2 linked regions of the Oreochromis niloticus genome follow. The protein of the gene in region 1 interacts with the protein of each later gene in a biochemical or structural test. Links are inferred from orthologs where the notes say so. Each region holds a gene or a part of one and is shown on either strand. Other genes may lie near its edges. The genes, in order: ptch1 and shha.

Evidence for each region.
Region 2: the proteins of ptch1 (region 1) and shha are reported together in a solved structure, tested with the Homo sapiens proteins (5 studies listed by BioGRID and IntAct, with this or other methods). The link is inferred for Oreochromis niloticus from reciprocal best matches to the Homo sapiens genes PTCH1 and SHH.

The regions. Positions count from the first base shown.
Region 1 is NC_031977.2:22,909,786-22,920,925, forward strand, and holds the start of ptch1 (protein patched homolog 1), read right to left. Parts: upstream 4,516-11,140; 5' UTR 4,105-4,515; coding exon 3,934-4,104; intron 2,508-3,933; coding exon 2,315-2,507; intron 1-2,314.
Region 2 is NC_031974.2:16,770,270-16,781,397, forward strand, and holds the start of shha (sonic hedgehog protein), read left to right. Parts: upstream 1-6,148; 5' UTR 6,149-6,512; coding exon 6,513-6,812; intron 6,813-11,128.

The sequences.
Region 1 (11,140 bases):
GCATCCACAGGCCACACAGCTTCCATGTGGGGTCGTCCATGGGTCGCCTGCGGAGGGGCAGTTCCAACCAAATGAAACATAAACAGGCACTCTGTCCTCTCCTCTTTTTCCTCTCGGACGATGGGCCAGTCCCCCAGCACGGCCCAGCACAGCGTTCCACGGTCCAGGCAGAACTAATCTATCCCTCAGCTGTGCAGTCTAATCTAAACAAACAGATCTCTCCCTACCAGCATCTGGAACCCCTCACTTATCGGGATGTAGAAAACCACAGCAGCCCTGTCTTGTAGTCAGAGCCTGTGTACGAGCAGGGGTTTGCATCTTGGTGTGAGCCAGTATGAGACCATTTTGTAGATGTCTACCAGAGGTCACTACACTACTTGTGTGTCAGCCAAGGTCAGGTTCAGTTCTGTCAACACCAAAATTTATTGGTGGAACAAAACAAAAGTGCACAGTCACTCTGGGTTTGAGTATCCTGAATTTGATGCAACACCAGCAGCGCTAAACTTGCAACAGGATCAGCTGAAACATCTGAAACTGCTGATAAATCACAAGTTACCAGACCTTGCAAAGACAAAAAGGTGCTAATAATAATGGGAAACTGAGAAAATCTACAAATTCTCAAATTTGAGAAGCTACAAGAAGACCGTTTACCTACTGAATAAATAACTCTGAAGTTATAGCTTTTAGTAATTTTAACCTCAGTACTCTGGAGAGGCTGAAATAAGTCTACAGTTTGCACTTGCAATGCATCTTGAAGCCAAAAGGCTTCATTGCTGTATTTTTGAGTATGCTTTAAATAAAAGGTTTGCCAAAATGTTGCTAAACCCAGTTCTTTGAGAAGGGCAGCAGTATGAGATGGAAGAGTAAAGCTCATAAGTTACAACAGGCCAAAGTGATGCTCTTAGTATTTTTTAGTAATTTTTGTTAAAAGCCCACACAGCGTGTAAAATTAAAGGAGCAGGCAAGCAGGTAAACAGGCAACAAAACAGTGACAGGTCCCTGCAAATGTTTGATTTATTTATTTTTTTTACATAAAATACAAGAAGTTATGAATATATTACTAATTCATTTCAGCACTTGCATGTAAGAGTAAAGGATGCACTGTGAAGTGTGCAATAATATTCAGTTCCAAAAGGTCCCGGTCACTTTAGTATACATGACCGTGGTCAGACATGTGAAAGGGTGTGAAAACAGTGCGATCCTCTGAGTATAATCAGGATTCCTATCCCAAAGAGGCTCCCCTCTGCCTAAACTGTTGCCAACTGCGCCTGCGCCGCAGATTAGAAGAACACGCTGTCTGTCAGACCCCTGCAGCTGCACGCAAGGGGAGAACAGCCAACCCCGGGCAGGAGGTGTGGTGTTTGATCTGTACAGGAATCAGTCTGCTTTAGTGCTTGATCTTGTTAACTTTTTTTTTTAAACCTGAGACAAAGTGGTTTTAAAAAAGTTAAAAAGGCAACCGCACAAGCACACGCTTAAAAAATGCATTCATTTTTATAACCAAACAGTACTCCACTTCAATTTCTCAACAAGTCTGCTCCTCCATTCATGACTCCTACAGCCAACTCTACCCATAAGCGCAGGAATGTGGATCAAAGGAAAGGAAAAAAAGCTCAGCCCCTTCCCCTTAAACCCCCCCACAAGCACCACCCATATGCACAGTTTCTTTCTTCCTTATATATTTTCACTCTTCAAAAGTTGTTTAGGAATTTCAAAAACAAGGAAAACTAACAAGTGTTCCATCCACCCCACAAACACGAGTTCCTGCCCTCACTCCGCTTTTTCCCTGCAGCCGGAGACAAATCTTTTTGGAAAGTTGAGAGCTGTCCAAAACGGGACCACACACAGTCAACTGCTGGGGGCAGGCAGGCAGACACACACTCACACACACACACACTCACACACATCTCACAAAATGGCGGCTTTCACAAAAATTTCCTCTACCCCGAAAGCCCCTTATGAACTTAATTACAACTTTTTATGAGCATAGTTACACTCAGCCCTTGCACATCTTATGTGTGCATCTAGAACGGTTTTAGAAGCTAAGTGTGTTGGGAATAGGCAAGTATTTTCAAGTTTTGCTTGGGTGCTTGCCAGCACCTATACAATAAACAGTCCCCTTACCTACTTCATTTAGTAGCACCAACAAACCTTCTTCCTCCAAACTAAACTGTGTCAAATTCTTGGAAACATGCAATATGAAGTGAAACAGTTTCAAAAGCACTGAAATAAAGAAAAGTCCTAGGAGGTCACACTTAAAAACATCATGAATTGCACAGCTTGTCAAAAAACAAAATAATCAAGAGCCTCTTACCTTCCACCCAGAGTTTCTCCACATCCGTTTCCAAATTAGCTGCCCGTAAGCCCACAGCAAAAGCTCCAAAAATCATGAGGCCAACAACCAAAAACTTTCCGCAGTTCTTTTGAATGTAACAGCCCAGCCTAAATAAAAGTCTCTGGAACTTCGCTCTCAGCCACAGAGGTGCTTTCCTCCCAGTTGCCTTCCCCTATGATAAGACAAGAGTCCCAGAGTTACTGTCAGTCAACAGACAAAGCACCGCACTTACCTGCTCAGGTGATGCTGTAGGGTTAAAGACAAAAGATTTTATGGTATTCATGCAAATAAGCTACAACAATAAATGTGTCCACTTAAAAGAACCTTTACAGTTTTAAAGTACAAGCCTCTCTTTGATCAAAGAATCCCACCTGCTCTCCTTTCAGTAAGACTGCACATTTACCTACAACCGGGGATCTAAAGTCAGAGAGCTGGGATCTTCCAACACATCCACTAAATCCCTCTGCTAACCTTTATTCACTGAAAAACCACAAATCTGCTGGGGATCCTGGGTACTGCTGAGGACTCCCCAGAGTGCGAGCTACAGGTCCTGTCAGATCAGAATCCTTAGCATAATACATGCTAAGGAAAGATACCACCATTCCCTGGCATTTCACAGCCACAATAACCAGTTATGAATACAAATAATATTTTAAAAATAGTCCAAAATAAGTACATCTGGACCTCCAGAGTAGACACAGGTAAACAGGACTGTAACTGTCAAACCACAACTAGACTAAGCAGGCTCCCTTGTGTCTTTGTTCTACTCTTTATGTAAAATGGTCATTGGAAGCACAATACTGCGGTTAGTAGCAGACTATAAGTCTTAAAAGACAGAATAAAATAAAATACTGAATGCACTGTAGACCACATGCTCCCCACTTGACAGAAACTATTACATTTTGAGGGGTAGTGTAATTGCTACTGAAGTAACCTGCACGCACACATCGCCCGGTGATATTAAATACCCTGAATCGGCGCATGTGGTAAAACCACAAATACCACCACCACGCACTCACACGCGCTCTCCCCGTCCGGCCGCTCGTGTGTTCCGGCCTGCACGGGGAAGTGAAGGAGCTATCACGGGGAGGAATCACAATATTTGTGAACGGAAGAGGGCAGCCACATGGATTCTTTTACTTTCCTCCTCTTTACACGAGTCACCCAAGTTTAGACAGTGTCACCCAAACTCTTTAAAGCTTTGGGTGCTCCGCGTAAAAGAAAGGCTGGATGTTATGAAACGGTCAATGGCAGCGTTGCCTGCGAGAGTAAAAGCTGCATGTTTTTTGCCTGGTGCGGGACCGCTCTAGGTTGGGGATGCACTGGAAACAATCGCGTGTTTGTACTGGGGAAACGGGCACCTAGAACTTGCAGCACATCCTTCATCATAAGCCGGTTGCATCGGAAGAGTCGCGTGAAATCAAACACAACTACTTTGCGCTTTTCTGCAACCTTGCCTCACCGCTGTGTACCCCGTGCCCAGCCCGTCCCGTTACCTAGCAGCGACTGGACAGTTTGGCCACTTTTTTTTCTTTTCGACGAATACAATGAAAGCAGCATCACAAAGCCTTTTCCCGTTCAAGATGAGAAATAAGCACCTCTGAAATTTGCTCCAGAGCAAAGCCCGCATCGCAGTAACTCGGCCGCTGCAAATACTCCAAATCCAGCGGTGTGTTGCGGGTATAGTCCCCCCTGTTCCTCCGCGTTATCCTCGGCCGATCGGGGTCTCTGTTTTCCTGCTCGGAGGGCGCATTACCAGCCGAGGCCATGTTGCGGGGACAGCGATATGGTTTCCCACTTTATAGTATTTCCCCGAAAGCGTGTAGCGATATCCCAAGAGAACAGAGTTTCACTCTCGGAGATCTCACACCCGTGAAGTAGGGCTTCATACTCCTGTTGGAGACGGCGAGTCAAAGTCTGCGCCTTCCATCCCAACATTTCGTGATCCGGAGGTCTCCACCGCTTTCACCGCATTCACCGTGTCTCTTAAAAAAGTAAGTTTCTCTCAAAAAGCGAGCTTCGCGAAGTGATTTCCATACACAAGTTGTCGGGTATGAAACCTCGATAGTCGTAGCATTCTGGTGACATCTATGTGGTCTTCCCCTGGGCCGCGCGTCACGGCCAACTCTGAGATTCAATAGAAATGAAGAAAAAGACCTCTCTCCATTTGGAGGCAGAGAAAGAGGAGGGGTGAGTAGAGGAAAAAAATACTCGAGATCCCGCCTCTGGGGCTGTCAGATTGCAGGAGTTTCTTGCATCTGATTGGTTCCAGAAGGGCAGAAATTACTCAGCAAACACGACTATTATTAGCTGCTTAGCAACAGCTCACTAAAGTAGAGAGACCACCCAGGCAGGCAGACCTCATGTGAGCATCTCCAACTTCAGGGGAGGCTCGCCGAGAGTCGAACCCATTTGGTGCATTCAGGTTTTCACGTAGAGCTCCGTTACAATAATGAAGCGTTTCCCTAAGAGGACCCGAAGTCAAAGACAAGGTATCCGTTTGTGCATCGGAGGGGGCTTTTTGGCATGTCAGAACTTTAACTATTTTTTTTTTTCCTCAGATGAGCCTCTAACTGGTTCAATGAGAGGGGGGGGCGGCTTGTAGGCTATAGTGTTGTTGCGATCTTTAGAGTCAAACACCGCCAAAAAACAGCTCATTAGTGTTTTGTACATATCAAAATACGCCACAGCCTCAGGACCACAGCTCTCTACAAAGCAAAACAAAAACCCTTTGATAAAACGTCTAAATGGAAAAAATATTACCTATAGAGAACTGCGATGTGTTTATGCGCAATCACGCATACAAATGCCAAATTATCTCCCCTTTAGTCTAGTGATCCCACAGGGTAATATCACAGTATTATGGTTATTTAGCTGAAAAAAAAAAAAATCACATTTCATATAGATGCAGATATACACAAGAACTATTTGTGCATTTACATCTTGCTGCACAATAAGCAAGCGGATTTTAGGATTTCATTATAATCTGATGTCCTTAAGCTCCTAACACCTGGTTGCCAAAGGAGGTAGCATTTATCCGTGAGGCAGGCATCATTTTTATAACTGACTTTATTCTGATAGAACTTTTTTCATAAAATAAAGATAAAAACAAATTCATTCAAATAAACAGACTTCGGGTCAAAATAATAAGGTTATAATAAACAAAACAATTAACTCCAGCAGCCACTCTTGGCTCGCCAGAGCATCAGGTGTATTTCACACCTAAGCCATCTAAGCTGACTCTGGGCATGTGGCTGCCAGCCGAGCACTTACCATCATCTGTCCTGGTGGGGAGAACATTCAGAACAAATCCGTGATTTCCCGCTCCTCGGAGAGCGAAACGAGTCAGTTATAATAAAGATAAAAAGGAATGATTAAGTGTTGTGAGGAGAGAAAGAGATGCATCGTAATCTGTCTTGGTCACAGTCAGAATGCTCAGAAAAAAGTTCACCCAATTATAAGACTGTGCCTTTTTTGGCCACGTTGGTGGTCTCCTTAGCTTCATAGGCAGGACCCTTTGATTGTCACGTGATTAGCCCGAAGTCGTAAACTGTGCCAATCACGCAGCAGCAGCTTCCAGTATTTCAGGCTGTGGTAATTGAAGGAAAAGAAAGAAAAAGAGCGCACAACGCACACCTGTGCACTCTGACATCAAAGAAGTGAATGCAATGCAATTTAGAGACGCACAGATACACGTATGTGCACATGTGCGTACTTAAGGAACAAGCATATAGGATCAAGCATACAGATCATTTCCATTGACGTATAAGGGATTGTTGATGCTGTATAATAAGGAAACCACAAACAGATTAATACAGTGACATGTCCTCAGCCACATAGTCTCAGATTATATTAACTTCTAAAGACTGATTCGTGTTACTATCAAAGTAAAGTCATTTTACTACCCTTAGTGTCCCCCTTGGAGCAAATTACTTTACATTTGGTCTGGACAGAAACTGTCACTGTAACATTTTACTGGAAATAACATAACATTCATATAAATGCTTATTTCTGATCTGTCTGTATCATAAACACTAACATTCTTCTTTGCAGTTAGTAGGAAGGTTGGTTGTGATGGAGAAAACCCACCTTAAATATATACAGTTTAACTGCCCTCAGATACTCCAGGTGTAGTATCTGAGTGAGGGAAAGCATCCAAGGGGGAACAAAGTTAGGCTGCGATGCCCCCTAATGCTCCTGAGAAGAACCAGGCCTGTGTCAGTGGAACAGGAGGAAGTAGGAGCCGCAACTGCTGCACAATATCTGTGCTATGCATGTTCAAGTTGTTGTCATGACAGTAACGCTGCAGGACTCCATAAAAGTGCCTCAGGTCATTGTGGAAAATAGCCCCCCCCCCCATTTGAATACTGTAGTTAAAAGTTGTAAAGATATGCCTGTAAAAATGCTCTCGGGAGATTATATTGCAAGCATCTGTGTGAACTAATGAAATACATATGCACAAACAACACTAAAACACCCTGGACCAAACATGAACATATATCCTTTTTTATTTATTGACATTAACATGGATGGGATGCACTAATTGTTGACTTTAGGAAGGGAGAAATGAATCCATCTTATTCTGATTTGTAAATGCAGGAAACAGTTTGGGTTTCAGATTTTGTAAGATCAACAAGTCCATTCAACTTGTAAGGTATGAAGCAACAAACAACAAAATAAAAGGTTTCAGTAGTCACCTTTTCATACTTGTCATCAAAATCAGATTACTCCCCTTTTTGTGACGGAATATGTTTAATAAATCTGTATCTAAACATCATTCGTTACATGGTGATCGACAGAGAAATAAGTTAAACTGCTCTTCTGCATCTGCTGTGACACACTCACTGTTCGAAACAATATCCTATTTTTTTTAAATATTTGTTAACTTTTTTTATGTATTACATTTAAAAAAAATTGTTTCAGAGTTAGTTTGCTTGTTTTACTCAAGTTGATTGTTCGAACTGTTTAATTTTAGGTTTTTATTATTAATATGTTAAGTTTTGTCAAGAAGACATACTTTTATTTTTATCTAGCCCTCGTTCACAGCCACATGGATTTCTTAATGGGGAAAGGAGATGAAGTATTCATTTAGGTGCTTGAGGTATTGGGCATTGATCCCAGAATGACTTCACCAACAAGTCACCTTTGGTGACCCCTGGCAGGGCCCCTCACACCCCTCAAGGCTGGTCGCTGGCCAGTGGCCATGAGAAAACGCTGAAAAACCTTGCTTAGTGCATGCGTTTATTTATGATTTGCAGGTGGATTACAGTTCCAAGCAGAACTGTGCCAAAACATTACTATCCCTGAGTCAAAACAATAGCGTCTTTTTAGCCAGGACCATTGTTATGCTTGATGCAGGGATAAACAAAGATTTCTAATCAATACTATGTCCATTACCTGGCGTTATGGACATACTTTTTTAACCAGTCTAACCACTGCATTTTTAGTCAACTCATTTTCTGTCACATTAGTAAACTGTAGCAGTATCCAACCAACCAACAGTTTAGAAAAAGTCTCGTAAATGCAGAAAGTTATACTCAATTTAGTTGAGTATTTATGAAGTGTTTGTTTTTTCCAGTCGTTATAAGACTACAGTAGGTGTAAGTCACTTACAATGAAGTGTATTGAAAAAAAAAAGACCAAAAGGGGCAACAACAACAGAAGAACAGAAAAAACTGCACCTGTTTATTGAAAACAAATGTTCCCAGTTAAGCAAGAACATCCTCTACTCTTGTTTTTCATGCTGCTTACAAAAAATAAAGAGAAAGAAAATCAATATGGATGCGTGGGAGTGAAGGTTTCTTGGTGCTTGAAAGCTTATGTGATATGTTCCATTCATGGGCAAAAGTGTTGTTTATACATCCAATTTAGCTTTAGCAGCATTGTACTGATTGTTAACAAAAACAAACAAAAAGAAAACAGGTATTGCAAAATGTGTAAATGCCCCTAACATGACTGCTTGTTTGCTTGTATGCCCTTGCACACATTGCTGTGACAATGGTAATCATATGTTGTTTTCTAGGTTTTGCCCCAAACTTCTAACCAAGTTGAATAGTTTGCTGTTGAACCATGGAAACTTTGCTTATAGGACAGCCAACACAGTGAACAATAAGACAATAACAGAGGTTTTATACAAAATCCTGGCTAGCCAAACCTTGAAAAAGAAAACAAAGCCTAAGATCAGAGCTTTGTTTCAACCATCTTTTGTAAACATAAATAAAGAGCAACATTCTGGTTTTGTTCTGACCAATATCGTAATGCCTAAAGGGGACCAGCTATGCCCTTTTCTATATCTACTCGACCTTAGAGCTGCTCATCAAATCATCCACCGTCCATTGTCAACCGGCTTTTTGCAAAATGCAAAAGAGCCCAGCCACCACTTTAATCGCAATCGCACGTATTTTTTTCTAACATAGCACAGAAACGGAATATTTAACAGTATTCCCAAAAACACTCTTTTTTCTGACTGTTTTCTTAATGACATTTACATTTACAACAATGATTTTCACAGCAGTGGGGAATAAATTTCATTACAGTAGATTTCTTTCTGAAAGTGCTGTAACTAAGTTTAAGGATATAATTATATATAATAGCCTTGAGGAAAACTATGGTTTTGATTTGGCGCTGTATAAATGAAATTGAATTGAACTGAAAGAGTTTTTGATCTGTGGTTGATTTTGTTAGTTTAGTTTTCCTAGTGTTTCTTAGAGTCTATCTTCCCTCTATCTCATCCATGTGTTTGTACAGCTGTCTTCCCAGTTCATTTTGGTAACTACTTTTTTACGTGTGCTTCTGTGTTTATTACACAGGCCTGTGCAGCAGGATAAAGTGCTGTGATACGATGGGCTGTATCACCGTGGTAACTTATACTGCAATGGTTAGGTTCTAGATTAGAGAGGAACACGTGCAAAGTCACCAGCTACTGACCAATAAATTCTCCAGAAAAACAGCATCATTACTCCTGTACAGATAGTAGCAGAGTCTAAAGTTTTTCAATAGCATCTCATGTCTTTGCATTTCCCTGATGAAAATTCTTAGATGCAACCTTGTTGTTTGATTTTTTTTCCTCCCAATTTTCTGCTAACAATCTTACAAAAATGTTATTGTTCTACAAGCATTAATATATGATCCTAAAACAGAGCTGCTATTTGTACTTGTGGACTTTATATCAAGTTTTAATTTAGTCTAAGCCCATTTTTGCACTCACACATTTATTCAGTGCTTTTAATACTGCTGTGGAGTGCCTTTCCTCTCAAAAACTCTGGTGCTTTTGTCTTTCGCTCTATTGTGTGTTTAATCTCTTCATATTTTTCTAATATTCTAGTGTTATCTTAGTTGGTAAAATCAGCTGTTCTGCTGCTACTTATGCATGTTTATGATTGGTCAGATGCTGCCAAAGTCCAAACTTTCATTCAGGGGAATGTTCAGGGTAAACCCTGATTAACTAAGCAAGATGACTGTGTTACCATTTATTCTGTTTGCCAATGTTAGGGTAAGTGAATAACTTTAACGGAAATATACCCTGGATATGTTGTACTCACTCTGTAGTAAATTGTGTTCCCTAACTAGTGCTCTCTATATGCAGTCCTGTGTTTCCATCCTGTGTTTTGTCTGTTGTGTTATCCTGCTTTACCTTTTTCTGCCTCTGTGTGCATTTTTGTGCTCCTTCTTTAGTGCCTCACTATTTCTTCAGTTTGCATTTTTGATCTTTCACCCTTTGTAATCTATGGACTTTGGTTTGGTTGTTTAATTCTGTATTTCTTTGTGTCTGTGTTTGGGCCCAGATTATTTTTACATTTTCTTGTACACATTTTGTTAAATTGAAACAAAATGTGAAATTCACTTTTTTAGTCTTTAATCCCACCTTTTGACTGGTATCTTCTAACTGAAATGTAGTTGTACACACTTTTATTGCATCATCATGAAGTATTTATCCTTTTTGCAACTTTTCTCACTATAACTTGGTTCCACGATGGCCATATCAAAAAATAAAATAATAATAACAAAAATAGCAAACAAACTAATTCTCCAAACTATGAAAATAGAAGACGAGTTGAATTAAACAGGAAATGTTCTTTGTGTATTTCTATCTGTAAGGCTGGACATTTTTACTCAGCGGAAAATCCCTCTGTCAGTACATCCCTACAGTATTCCCCTTTGGAAGGTCCATAAAGGTACCATTTCCAATATTTCTGCCAGGTCATAAAGCTCTCCTGTCCTCCTCCATCTGAACTGCCCCCCCACCCACCTCTGCACCACCATGGCTCCCTGTGAAGGAGTAGGGGCTGAGTGCAGAGTGAGAGCCTGCTGGGATGTTTATGTTGCAGCTCAAGATTGTCTTCAATCATACGTAGAGCTGTTTGACAGGTTGCAGCAGCAGATTTTGGCCTCTGTTTACCTCTTCCAATTTCTGTGAGGGTTTGTATGTACAATAAGAGGAGCTCTGCAAGGATACATTTAGCAGGAACATAGAGAAGTGGACCAAAACTATAAGAAGATCAAGAAAATGCTTTTTTTTTTTAAATTTGAGTGTCTTAATCATAAAACGTAAACCTGCACAGTGAGGAAAGCAGGACAGATTTTGATTCTTCTTCTTTTGTGAAATCACACTGATATGTGAAAAAATTAAAGCTTACATAAAGCAATCTGATTTGGGTGTCTTTCTAGTGATGTCTCTCAAAAGTCAGCAGGCATGATGTGAGAACAGAGATATGAGATGAGGTTTTCCTGACAAGAAGTGTGTGATTGTTAATGAGAAACTAAATTTAACATGACTGGCATTTATGATTTTTTTTAATTAAGTCA
Region 2 (11,128 bases), on another chromosome or scaffold:
AGGTGGTTAATGTGGTTGGCATGGGTAATGTAGTAGCCTGCTAACTGGGCGTGACTGAAGCTTTGCTGCTGTTTGTTGTGCTCTTATTCTTTATTTTAGTCAGTGGAGAGTTATTAACACTTCTTTCTGTTTTTTTTTATTAGCCCGAGGTGTGATGGCACACACTTGAAGCATTTAGGACTCATTAGAGAGATAAAATCAGTGTCCTCTCTTTAATGAAAGCAAATCCTGAAGCATTCATGTTGAAGCAGATTGCTCATCTCTAAGAAGTATATCTGTACCGCCGATACTCTCACATCAGTGTGATTAACTCTGGTGTTTCAGATGGTTACACGCAGTTTCACAACTTTATGTCCCCTGAGTCACTGAGTTTGTTTCGATTGAACTCGTTTCCTGCAGTCTTGTGGATGAACATATTGTGACTGATGCAAAATATTAATGCCGTGTATGAACTCACATCTTGCCGCTGATTCTTCCAGATTTGCGTTATAATTTAGTTGCTTTCACAGGTTTTGCATAATGTAATTAATGTTTTTTTTGTGGTTTTTTTGCAACGTCTTAAAACTGAAAAAGATAAGATAAAAAAATGACCCTACTGGCATCATTTTTTCCAACTTCTTTTAAAAAGGCACCTATAAATTTCAGTTCACTTGTCATCAAACTGCTTCCTAATCCATGACAACAGTAACGTTTTTGACTTTCTAAAGTAAAAGAAGAAAGGCCATCGGAGTTATCGTTGGTTTAGGGTTTGGTTTTTTTTAAAACTTTGAGTCTAAACACTGAATAAAAAGCAGGCAGACAGGCAAGCGGTGAGAACAAAAGATGCTACAGAGTTGCAGTATGGGAAGGTCTGCATGCAGTGTGTTTTTGGAGTGTGACTCATGCTAAGAAAGATCACAATATTTCAACTTCTGCAGCAAAAAGGTTGCCGGTTCTTTGCAATGAGTCCTCCAACTTAATGTGCAGAAACCAGCATTTTCAGGCTCAGCTTGTTGATTCGTACCTTTTATTTCTGCTCATTTTTATTGAAACATTTATTAAAAAGAAGTTAAATCAACCATTCACTCTGAAAAAGATAAGTCTTTATTGTGTATTTTCTATATATGTATGTGTATTTTCCAGTATTCTCAGAAATTCTGCATCTGTATGTGGTACACTTAAGGGTTTGGCTGCTCCCATGTCACAATTTGTGTCTCCGAATATGAACCCAGGGTCTGAGGTGGTTAGCTTAGCTTAGCTTAACTGGAACCGCTTTGTCATTGCTATGACAAATAAATAAAATATATTTAACTTTGCAGTTTTATTCATGTCATTTCTTCTGCAGCTGAGAGTTTTCCTCTGAATCAATACTAAGCAGACTCAGAGGCTGAGATGGAGGAACAGAGCAGTGACACATTCATCCAGACTGCCGAAGTTCCTGTATGAGGTGATCAACTCTGAAATTCCAGAGAAAAAGGTTTGGCTTATTTTCACCAAAGCCCAAATATAATCTGACTGAACATGCAGACTGGAGGCTGCAGTCAGGATTTTCTCACACTGGTACATGGAGAGAGGTATCAAGAACACACACGCGCATACAGCCTCTCACTTCACGCTTCCTCTTCATCCAACTTGTATCATGCAGTATTCTCGTCTTTTTATTGTCTAATTTGCTGTGATTTAGGGTCTGTGTCCACAGGCAGAGGTTTTTGCACAGGAAGTGACCAGTCTCACATCTATTTGTCACAAAATAGACCAAACCTTTCTCCCCTGAGGAGAAACGCTAGATAGATACAAAAACCCCACAGACCCTTATTCACTTAGATAATGTTTGAAATTTTAAAAGTCTTCTTCAGAACAAAACTGGAGCTTTGCACATTGTTTGCTCCTCCTCGTCTTTTGAAAAGCAAGTAGATGCTCTTTCATCTATGCGTTTGCCACATCCCATTAAATGCTGCTGGTGTCTCAGTTGTGCACAAGGTGTCCTTTGGTGTCAGTGCCTTGGCATACAGCCTGAGCGAAACTGGACATAATACAGACACATAAGTACTCTTTGAAAGCAAAGATTGTTTGAGTCTATTTTTTTTTCTTTAGATCTGTTGAATTTTATTTATATAGCCCCAGTTATTAGTCAGTAACCTTTGTCTCGAGGCACTTTATATAAGAGGTAGTGACCTTATAATATTAATGTAGGACACAGGTTCATTGGACTCACTGGTGAAGTGAACGCAGGTCAGTTTCTGGAAACACACTGAGCCACTTGAATGTTTGTATATGAACTCATTTACGTGAGGAAGAACTGATTTCAGGAAAATAGAGATGTTCAGATCGTAAACATTGTGAGGCTTTTGTTCGTGTATTAGCTGTTTAGATGTTTTATCACCAAAGAAACATTTACATTAGTCTAGAAAGTCTAGAGGTTGCTGCAGAGATAAAACTCTGCCAAGGCAAACATGGGGCGCTACCTGTTGTGGTGTCCCCAGCTGAAAGTAGCTTTCCATGAGTCTGCTTGGTTTCCCCTCTTTTATTCTTTTTAGAACATTTGTACCCCTTAAAGTGTAAACTCAGATATTTTCTGTAGAATGGAAGAAATCAGCCGCCTGCTGTCATGACATTGAAACCGGTTTGGAGAAGAAGTGAAGTAATATCGGCCGTGTATCACTTTTCTTTAGGACGTTAAAGACACAGCTAAGCTTCCACAAACAAAGCAGCTTGTTTCGATGTAAATTCTTCGCAGTGGCTCATCAGAAAGTCTCAGTACGGTTATGCATTAAAGTAAACAGACACATGTCAGTCCTCTGAGCCGTTCCCTCTGTTATCACCGTTGCTTAAGACCGAGATGGTGTTGCAGTGCACGATGGCCAGCGCTGACTCACCTGGTGGAATAACACACAAACACCAGCCCCCCGCTTTCCACTCACTCAACTCCTTCCCCTCCCACTGAGTTCACCCTGCCCTGCAGTTCAAAGAGGTTCTGCCTGTCTAGCCTTGGCGTTTAATGTTTAAGTATTGGGAGCGGCAGGAGAGTGCAAATAAAATGCCTTTACAGACTCCGGGGCACGCTGAGGGTTGTGATTCTAGATACTGTATTGTGAAATTTCCATTGTACTTGACAGATTAGCTCCAGGTCACCTGATTCTGTTCAGCCGAATTCTGACTCTTTACCTCTGCTTAATGCTTGATGCGTGCGGCTTAGATAAACCATTTAGAGGAAGATTATTCAAACTTTGTGGCTCTAACAAAAGAGTACACATGCTCATAGGATAGATGGCAACGTGTCCGTGCTATAAACTGTTTGCCAAAAGTTCAAAACAGGATAAAGGGTTGAATGCGGACTCCACCTGCGAGGAAAAACCACAAAGAGTTGCGGTGGGCCTGTCTTTCTGTTAGCCTGGGAGAAAGGAAACCCTATTTGCAGCAACGGAAAACAACACAGAAAGCCTGACACTGCTTATATGTTTGTGCGTGATTATTCTCTAGTCCTAATCCGTCTAACAATGTTACAAAACATTCAGACAGGAGGAGGCTTTAAAGCAGTAATTGGGGGGACTTACACTGGTTAAACTCCACTCAACCACTTCTAGTTGCATCTCGCTTGTGCTTGATCGAGACGGTGGCAGATGAAATCAAATGTGGGTGTGGATTTAGTCTGATTCTAAGCACATCTTTTTGATTCCTTTGAATGTCAGACACAAGAGGGAGCCTTCTAAAGAAAGGCAGCGCAGCGCAGCAGATGAGGACGATGCGATGGATCAGGTAGAGGGTTCCATATGTGCGTCTGCACATTTTGGAGGGTAAAGTGTTAGATGGGACACACCATGAGCCAGAAACTGATGACTCATTGGCCGTTTTTCACGCCTCATACTGGATTAGCCATCACATGCAACAGGCTTCTTAATAATTGTGTAATGCCCTCAATCCCTCCAGAATTATTTCAGAGAGCTAGCCTTCGCTTTTCTGCATCACCCTCATATGCAAATCCACTGTAAATAAAAGAGTAACATAGTGTGACATAATGGCACAAATCTGGGATCTTAGAAGGTGTTTGTTTTAAGACGTCTGATCAAGGCAAATGCTCAAATAAAAGTTCACACGCCAAATAGATGCAGATACTTTAATTGTCTAAACTGTGTGCAGTGATTTACTTTGCTTTTAGTTGCAAACTCCACCCATCTGGCACCGAATTAGGCCAAAACCAAACAATGAAGTGTAATGTTTGCAAATACTATTTGCCCCAGGTCTGACTGAGAGATGCTTGGTTTCCTCTGCGGTAGAAACTCAAGTTCAATCCCACCAGCAAACCTTGGTTTTTAGAAAGCATAATTCATTTTCATTCAGCATCTTTTCTTTCTTTTGTTAGTTTATAAGTTGTTGCTTTAATAATTGTGTTAGTGTGAGCATTAATATAAGTATTATTACTCTTTTTCAGGAGGACTGAGACCTCTGAGGACTCTTTCTACCTCTGCTTCACCTCCCTGTGGGTTTGAGGCATTTGTGTGGCATGCCAGGTTTTATCCCAGAGCTGTGACACCTGACCTGGGGCTAAACAGTGCCTCTGGTGTCCCTCAGGGCACCACAAGTGCTGTCAGCTTTGTGTTTGAATACATCTGCAGACGTCGGCGCTGAAATGTGACTAAGGAAGACATCTTAAGAATCTCAATCATATGCGGCAAAAACAGAGTGACGGTAGTGATTTGCAGACTGAAAGCTGGTAGCGGAGTCTCTGGGTTATACAGCAGTGTGCCAACCGTCTTTTGGCTAAGAGCTGATGATCGTGGTCTCAGTGAGCAGCAGTTGGTCTCACCTGCCCTAGCTGCTTTGCCACAAGCCTGGCACTGACTAAACAACACCAGACTGGAGGTCAGCCAGAGTGAGGTCTAATGAGAGAGAAGCCACACCAAAGACTGGCGTATCTGTCCTCACTTCAGAGCACCTGTGCCACAGTGTCTGTGTGATGAGAGCCAAAGTTGCCTCAGAACAGCCCGTCTTCCTGTAATTACTCGTTGTTATCACACAAATAATTTTCCTCCCTGAAATATTTTAGATATCTGTTTTGTCTGGACCTTGAATTTGAATACAGTGGTGTCTCATGGTACCATACAGCCTTAATCAACAACAGTAAAATATTTCTTCATTGGCCTTTAATTATAGGAATGAGACTATGAGAATGTTGAGTTGGTGATTGAAATAAAATCTATTTTAATACTCGAGAAAAGTCATAATTTCTTTCCTTTCGGAAAGTTAGTTTTTCAATACTATGAATCTGTCAGTAAAGTAGGTTTTGACTGTGTAGGAGTGAATATTGTTGCTACCCACTATCAGTATATTTTACGCACTAAATAGGTTCTTCCCCATAAAAAGTGGCTTTTGGTTATCTTTTTTTTAAAACGCTTTCTAAAGCCTCGTCTACTATTGTGCTGTAAGTCTGTCCCGTTCCCACCCTCATTTTTAAGGACTCTGCTTCATTTTCTGAATCTGAGTTCCAGAAACCTGCGTGAAAATATGATGAATGTGTGGAAAAATGGTCACATGGAATGATATTTTGGAGAATAAAATGCATTTTTACGCATAAACTAAAGTAGGAAACAAGAGCGCGCAGAAGGCACTGATGTTACTCCAACTTTTGCTTTTTAGATCTGGTGAAATCGCCATAATATTAGTCCAAAAAGTACATTACAGTACAAGTTTTCTCAGTTTTATTGTGCCTTTGAACCACCAATAAGTTAAGTAGTGCCTTACAGCGTACATTCACGTTGGCACGCTGTTGTTGTTTAAAGGGACGCGAAGTTAGAGGCAAATTTCAATCTAATCTAATCTAATGAAATCTCATATCTCACTGCACTGTAAGCAAACTATTCCATACTATTCTGGTGGATATGGGGTGTCACAGCCAACTCATGCAGTCTTTGCGCACTGCACGTCCATGAGCAGTTTTATTCTCCTGGGAAACGCATTCTGCGCTCAAAGTTGTCCCACACAAATCAATTCACCAAACTACACTGCTACAGATTTGAGAACCACTGTTCAGCCTCCCCTGTCTGTGCTTCACTTACTGTGAAACACTGGAAAACGGGAGGGTGGAAAAAAGACAGTTTATAATTGATGTTTTCCCATGGAGCAGCCCCTCCTCCTCGAAACAGAGGCTAACCCTCAGGTGGAAGAAATCTTTTAAGATTTTTGTGGGATAACATCAGGAGGGGTAGTCGACGCCAATGAAGTCCCTCCCCTATAGATCGGTGCTATAATACAAAGCAGTAAAAGCGGTAGGCACACACACAAGCGGCAGCAGCTCGACTAGAGATCCCGTGGCTTTTAATTCCCTCACTACTTTTTTTTAAACCCTCCTTCGATTTGCCCCGTTATTACCATTTATCCGAGGCGTTCATTTCCGCACCTGCCACACAGAGACCAAGCTAAGGCGAAGTAGAAGAGGAGACAAGGACACTGCGAGAGCCGGGAGAGGCAGACTGTAGAGATAGCAGCGGTGACCCGTTTGAGATCTTAAAGGACAAAAAAAATTAAAAAAAAAAAAAATGCTGCTCTGGACCAAAATCGCGTTGGTCGGTCTCATCTGCTTGTCCTTGGTATCCTCTGGGATGGGATGCGGACCGGGCAGGGGGTACGGCAGAAGAAGACATCCGAAGAAGCTGACACCTCTTGCGTACAAGCAGTTCATCCCCAACGTCGCGGAGAAGACCCTCGGGGCAAGCGGCAAATACGAAGGCAAGATCACAAGAAACTCCGAGCGATTTAAAGAACTGACTCCCAATTATAACACAGACATCATATTCAAGGATGAGGAGAACACCGGTGCTGACAGGCTAATGACTCAGGTAAGGAGACGGAATAACCTTTTCTTTTAATTTTATTGTGATTTTTATTTTTTTGCCCCCACTGTCCATTTCCTAACGCACCATCACTGCGTACTGCAACAACCTCCTTGTCAGACTGATTGCGCACCTTAAGTGAAGTCTGTTTTACCCGCTGCTGAACTCTTCACACTGAGCCTTTTAACTTCACTGCAAAGGCAGATGCGCTTTATACACCAGCATGGGAGTTTTCAAAGGCTGCAGGCTTGAAGCGAATATAGAAATCCAGCTGGATAAGTGATGTGCAGGCGGACAGTCAGGACACTCGGCTTTCATGATTGTGACAGTGTATTTAAAATATTAATGTGCCCCTCTCCTCATATCTATATTTGTATCTATGGGAGGCTCGTTTTGTTGCCTTACAGGGGCACGTCCATGTTAGATTTCATGCAGACTTTCTGTGTTTTCTGCCTATTTCGGCTTTACGTTGCGGCTTGTTTAAGCGCCTTTTCTTTACCCCAGCCCTGGGGATGCGCATCGCGTTAAACAGCCGGGCTTACTGAGGCATGGCGTAGCTCATTCAGACGTTTCCTTGCACAGCCTTCTGTAATTTAGCCTTTCGCGTGGCGTGCATCTGTGCATGAAAACTGACATTTCTTTGAGAGTGTCCAGGCCTTGGTAAATGGGTGGGACTCGGCCAATTACACGAGCAAGGCGCACAGGAGTGCTGGTGTGTTTTACAATACACCTGCACGAAGGATGGCGTCTGTTTTAAATATCTCATCCTCTTGCAGCCAGTCAGTTTAAAACCTTATACCCGGTTCAGTGCAGCTAAGAAGAGGCTCACATACATCGGAGACATGCCTTGATTTCTCTCCAGGCTGCAGGATGTCGCGTCTCTTCAGCATGACTTTTAGCACTTAGATGCTGGTGAATTATTAAAAAGCTCTTGGGTGATATTGGCTCAGTAATAATAAAATGAAGATGGTGATGGTGGTGCTGCTGGTGGTGATGAAGCCAGGCGCGCGCCGGTGTCCCTGAACCCGTGCCTAGCACCACGCATGAGGGCGAGCTCCAATAAAATATTCACAGTGCGTGCGTCGCTCAGCCCTCCCCACATCTCCTCTGCTATACACCTATAGGTTCTCATACGCAGGGATCGTGAAATTACAGTAGTCTGAGGATGTGATTACCAAGGCGGGGGGTTAGAGACCTAAACGGATTCTCCGGGGGTGGGGTGGGGGGGGGGTTTCCAGGTCTCTAGCAGGAACATAGTTTAATTTAACCATTATTTCGAGAATCTCTGAACTAAAGAAGCACCTGTCTTAATCCAAGCTTTTACTCTGAGTGAAAAGACCCGCATGCCTATAAGGATTTGCTTTTGCAGGTCAGCATCAAAACGAACAAAGGTGGGAGGTGGAAGATCTGATAAATTGTGATTACATGTGGCACCATACGCTTGTGCAGCGTGGCCTGTTGGGGGTTTCTTTTTGTTTGTCGGATTTATTTGGGTTTGTTCGTGATCCATTTCCCACTTGACTGTTTACAGAAAACACGGCGACCGACTCTAAGTGTGAAAACACACAGTTTGAACTTAGAACCTTTGGTCAGCGGGAGGCCACAGTAAGTTAAAACAGGTGTGATTATCCTTTTTATATATGACACTGTAAAGCCACCAGATTGAAGCATGTGCACCCAAAGGAGAGTAAGTGTAGCTGCAAGCAACATAAGCATTATCACATGGGGATTTACGCCGTGCCAAGGCTTTATGCATGAATCCAGAGGGTTTTTACGCACGGAGTTTTACGCATGAATGCCTTGAACTTCTCTCGTTATCTCGCGGTTTAGAAAATAGGTGTTGTATTCATAAATGAAACAAGACACGTGTCTAGAGTAGCCCCGTTAGATATGTGCAATAAATGAATTAATCAGTCAATCAGTTCAGTGCGGTCTTGCCAAGATTATATACTGGAAGAAGCGCTTGAACAAGCACTTCTAACTAGTTTGACACAGCGCACTCCCAGAGAGCTGCCAACAAATAGGCTTTAGAGACATTTACGAATTGATACACGAAGTGACGGGGCCTGACTTGATTAGCAGCATCACTTTCGCCCGCTATTCTACGGCTTTTAGACTTATGCTCACCTGTCTCTGACCCTCGTGAATTCAACTTGTGTTAAGTGACATTCTACGCATAAAAGTGGGACAAAATAAGACTCCAAAGGAATTTTTAAGGCAATAAAATGACTTAAAATTAAACAACAACAACTTTGATTTGCCCTCTTTAAACAAGTGAAACTGTAAGCCACAATGTCATGGGTTACTTTTTTACGTTAGATCCAGTGCCAGACTAAACGGCGTTTTCATCTATTTTTCTAAGCGTAACAGTGTTAAGAGCCTGCAGTGCAAACGAGTTGGAAACGAGATGAGCTGGCGGCTTGTTTGCACTGACAGGTAGCTGATAAGTGTTTCCTCTAACCAAATCATTTGTGAAAAGATTAAGAGGCAGGCTGTTGAACAACTTTACCCCGAGCACAAAGCGCCGGTCCAAGGCGCCCTGCTGGGCTTCATGGTGGCTGAGCAGAATTTGGCTTGATTTGCGGCACACGACCTAATGAATTAATAAATAGGTTAAGCTTTACGGCTCTTGACTCCGAAAATCTCTCTCAGTATGCAGAAGGGTTTTTTAAGGAGAGGTTTGGTTTTTTTTAATTCAACACATTCTACAAGTGTGATATCCTCATAAAACAGCGACTGATATATATGACTTTGTTTTCTGTTATGCGAGCGGGTAGATTTATGTGAACAACCCCCGATTGAAGACCTCAGACTGTCCCAACCGTGGGGTGGGGGGGGGCAGTGGGCTCTTCTTTGCCCCCAGTGCAATCCTCGGATATTTCACAAGTCTGTTAGTCAGCAGCCAAAACACCTCGACTTAAGAAGGCATGTCACGTTTCCAAGACTTTGCAGGAGAAGAGTAATGAAAGTTTCCCTCCGCCGCTGGACTGAAAAGACTCTTTGTGATGTTTTATTTGACATATTGGTTCGGCGTCCAGAATAGTTGTCTTGGAGAAGGCCAAGCATCTTCATTTAGAGCGCGGAGAGCTTAGGGTTCAACCAACTCCAGATATTTTAAGGAGGCAGCTGCTCTTGAAGATCATCTTCATATCATCTGCACATCAATTATTAATTTAAAGAAAACAAGCAACCGACAAAAGACTCCCTCATTCATCGCCTAATGCAGACTCGTGAATTCATACTGTATTAATGTTGTTTTTAATGCAACACTTCTGGATAGAAAAGGGTCGCTGCTCGCACCTCTCCAAGACCAAAGACCCATATGTTATAGGCCAGTGAAGCGAATGCAGTGCCTTATCAATATTTCATTAGCAGCTTTCTTACCCGAGATGTGCCCTCTGACGCTGCTGCTAACACTGAGAAATGCAAGCTCAGGATCAGAGACGCAGTTCAGCTCCAGTGTTTCACCTCAGCTGGGAGGAAACAGGGGAGTCAGGTGGGTGGGGGGATGGAGTTGTGCGAGAGGCCTCAGTTGGTCCAGTTTTAATCTTTAATTGATATTAACCCTTGTGTGGTGTTCATGCTTTTGTTGCTCGGGCAACATTGGCGGATCTGGTTTAATAGATGTTTACTTTTCTCAGTTCTAAGCAATAAGATCCACACATATGGTCAATATGTGGAATTTACCTCCGTCAGAGCGTATTTATGAACTAAAGCGCTGCTCGTTTTTGTGAGAAAATATAATAAATATCTAAATATAAAAACGTTGTGAATCATATGAGGCTATGTAACTCACCTCGTTAAACAAATAGCCTGTTTGCATTAACGTCTACACAACACATGGGGGGCACTTTTGCTGTGTGTGCACATGTGTTTCTTGCCCACAAACATTCCACCTCTTCTTTTTGTTGCTACTGGATCTAGAATAGATCGGGGAATGTCTCCTGATCGGTGATGAAAAGTCCAGCCAGGGCCACGTGTGTTGGTCCTGGCTGGACCACGTTGGCAGACACGTGGGGTGCTTCATTCGTTGGACGAGAAGGCCATTTAGTTTCACTTTTTCTCCACCTTGCTGTCTGCTGATGAGCTTCTCTTCACCCTCCTGTCTGCACTGTCCTCCCAATAAAGGCAAAAGTCCTCATGTACTGAAATCTCATCGTGTTCCAAATCCTCTCTTTCTCGTCTAAAATCATGGATATTGATCGATAAGGAGCCTCCCTAGCAAAGCTGTTTATTAGTTGTGCTCCTCCTCGATTTGTAGTTGGGGCAATGGGTATAATGTGCAGGGATGAGGGAGCAGACAGGTGCAGGTTTAACAAAGT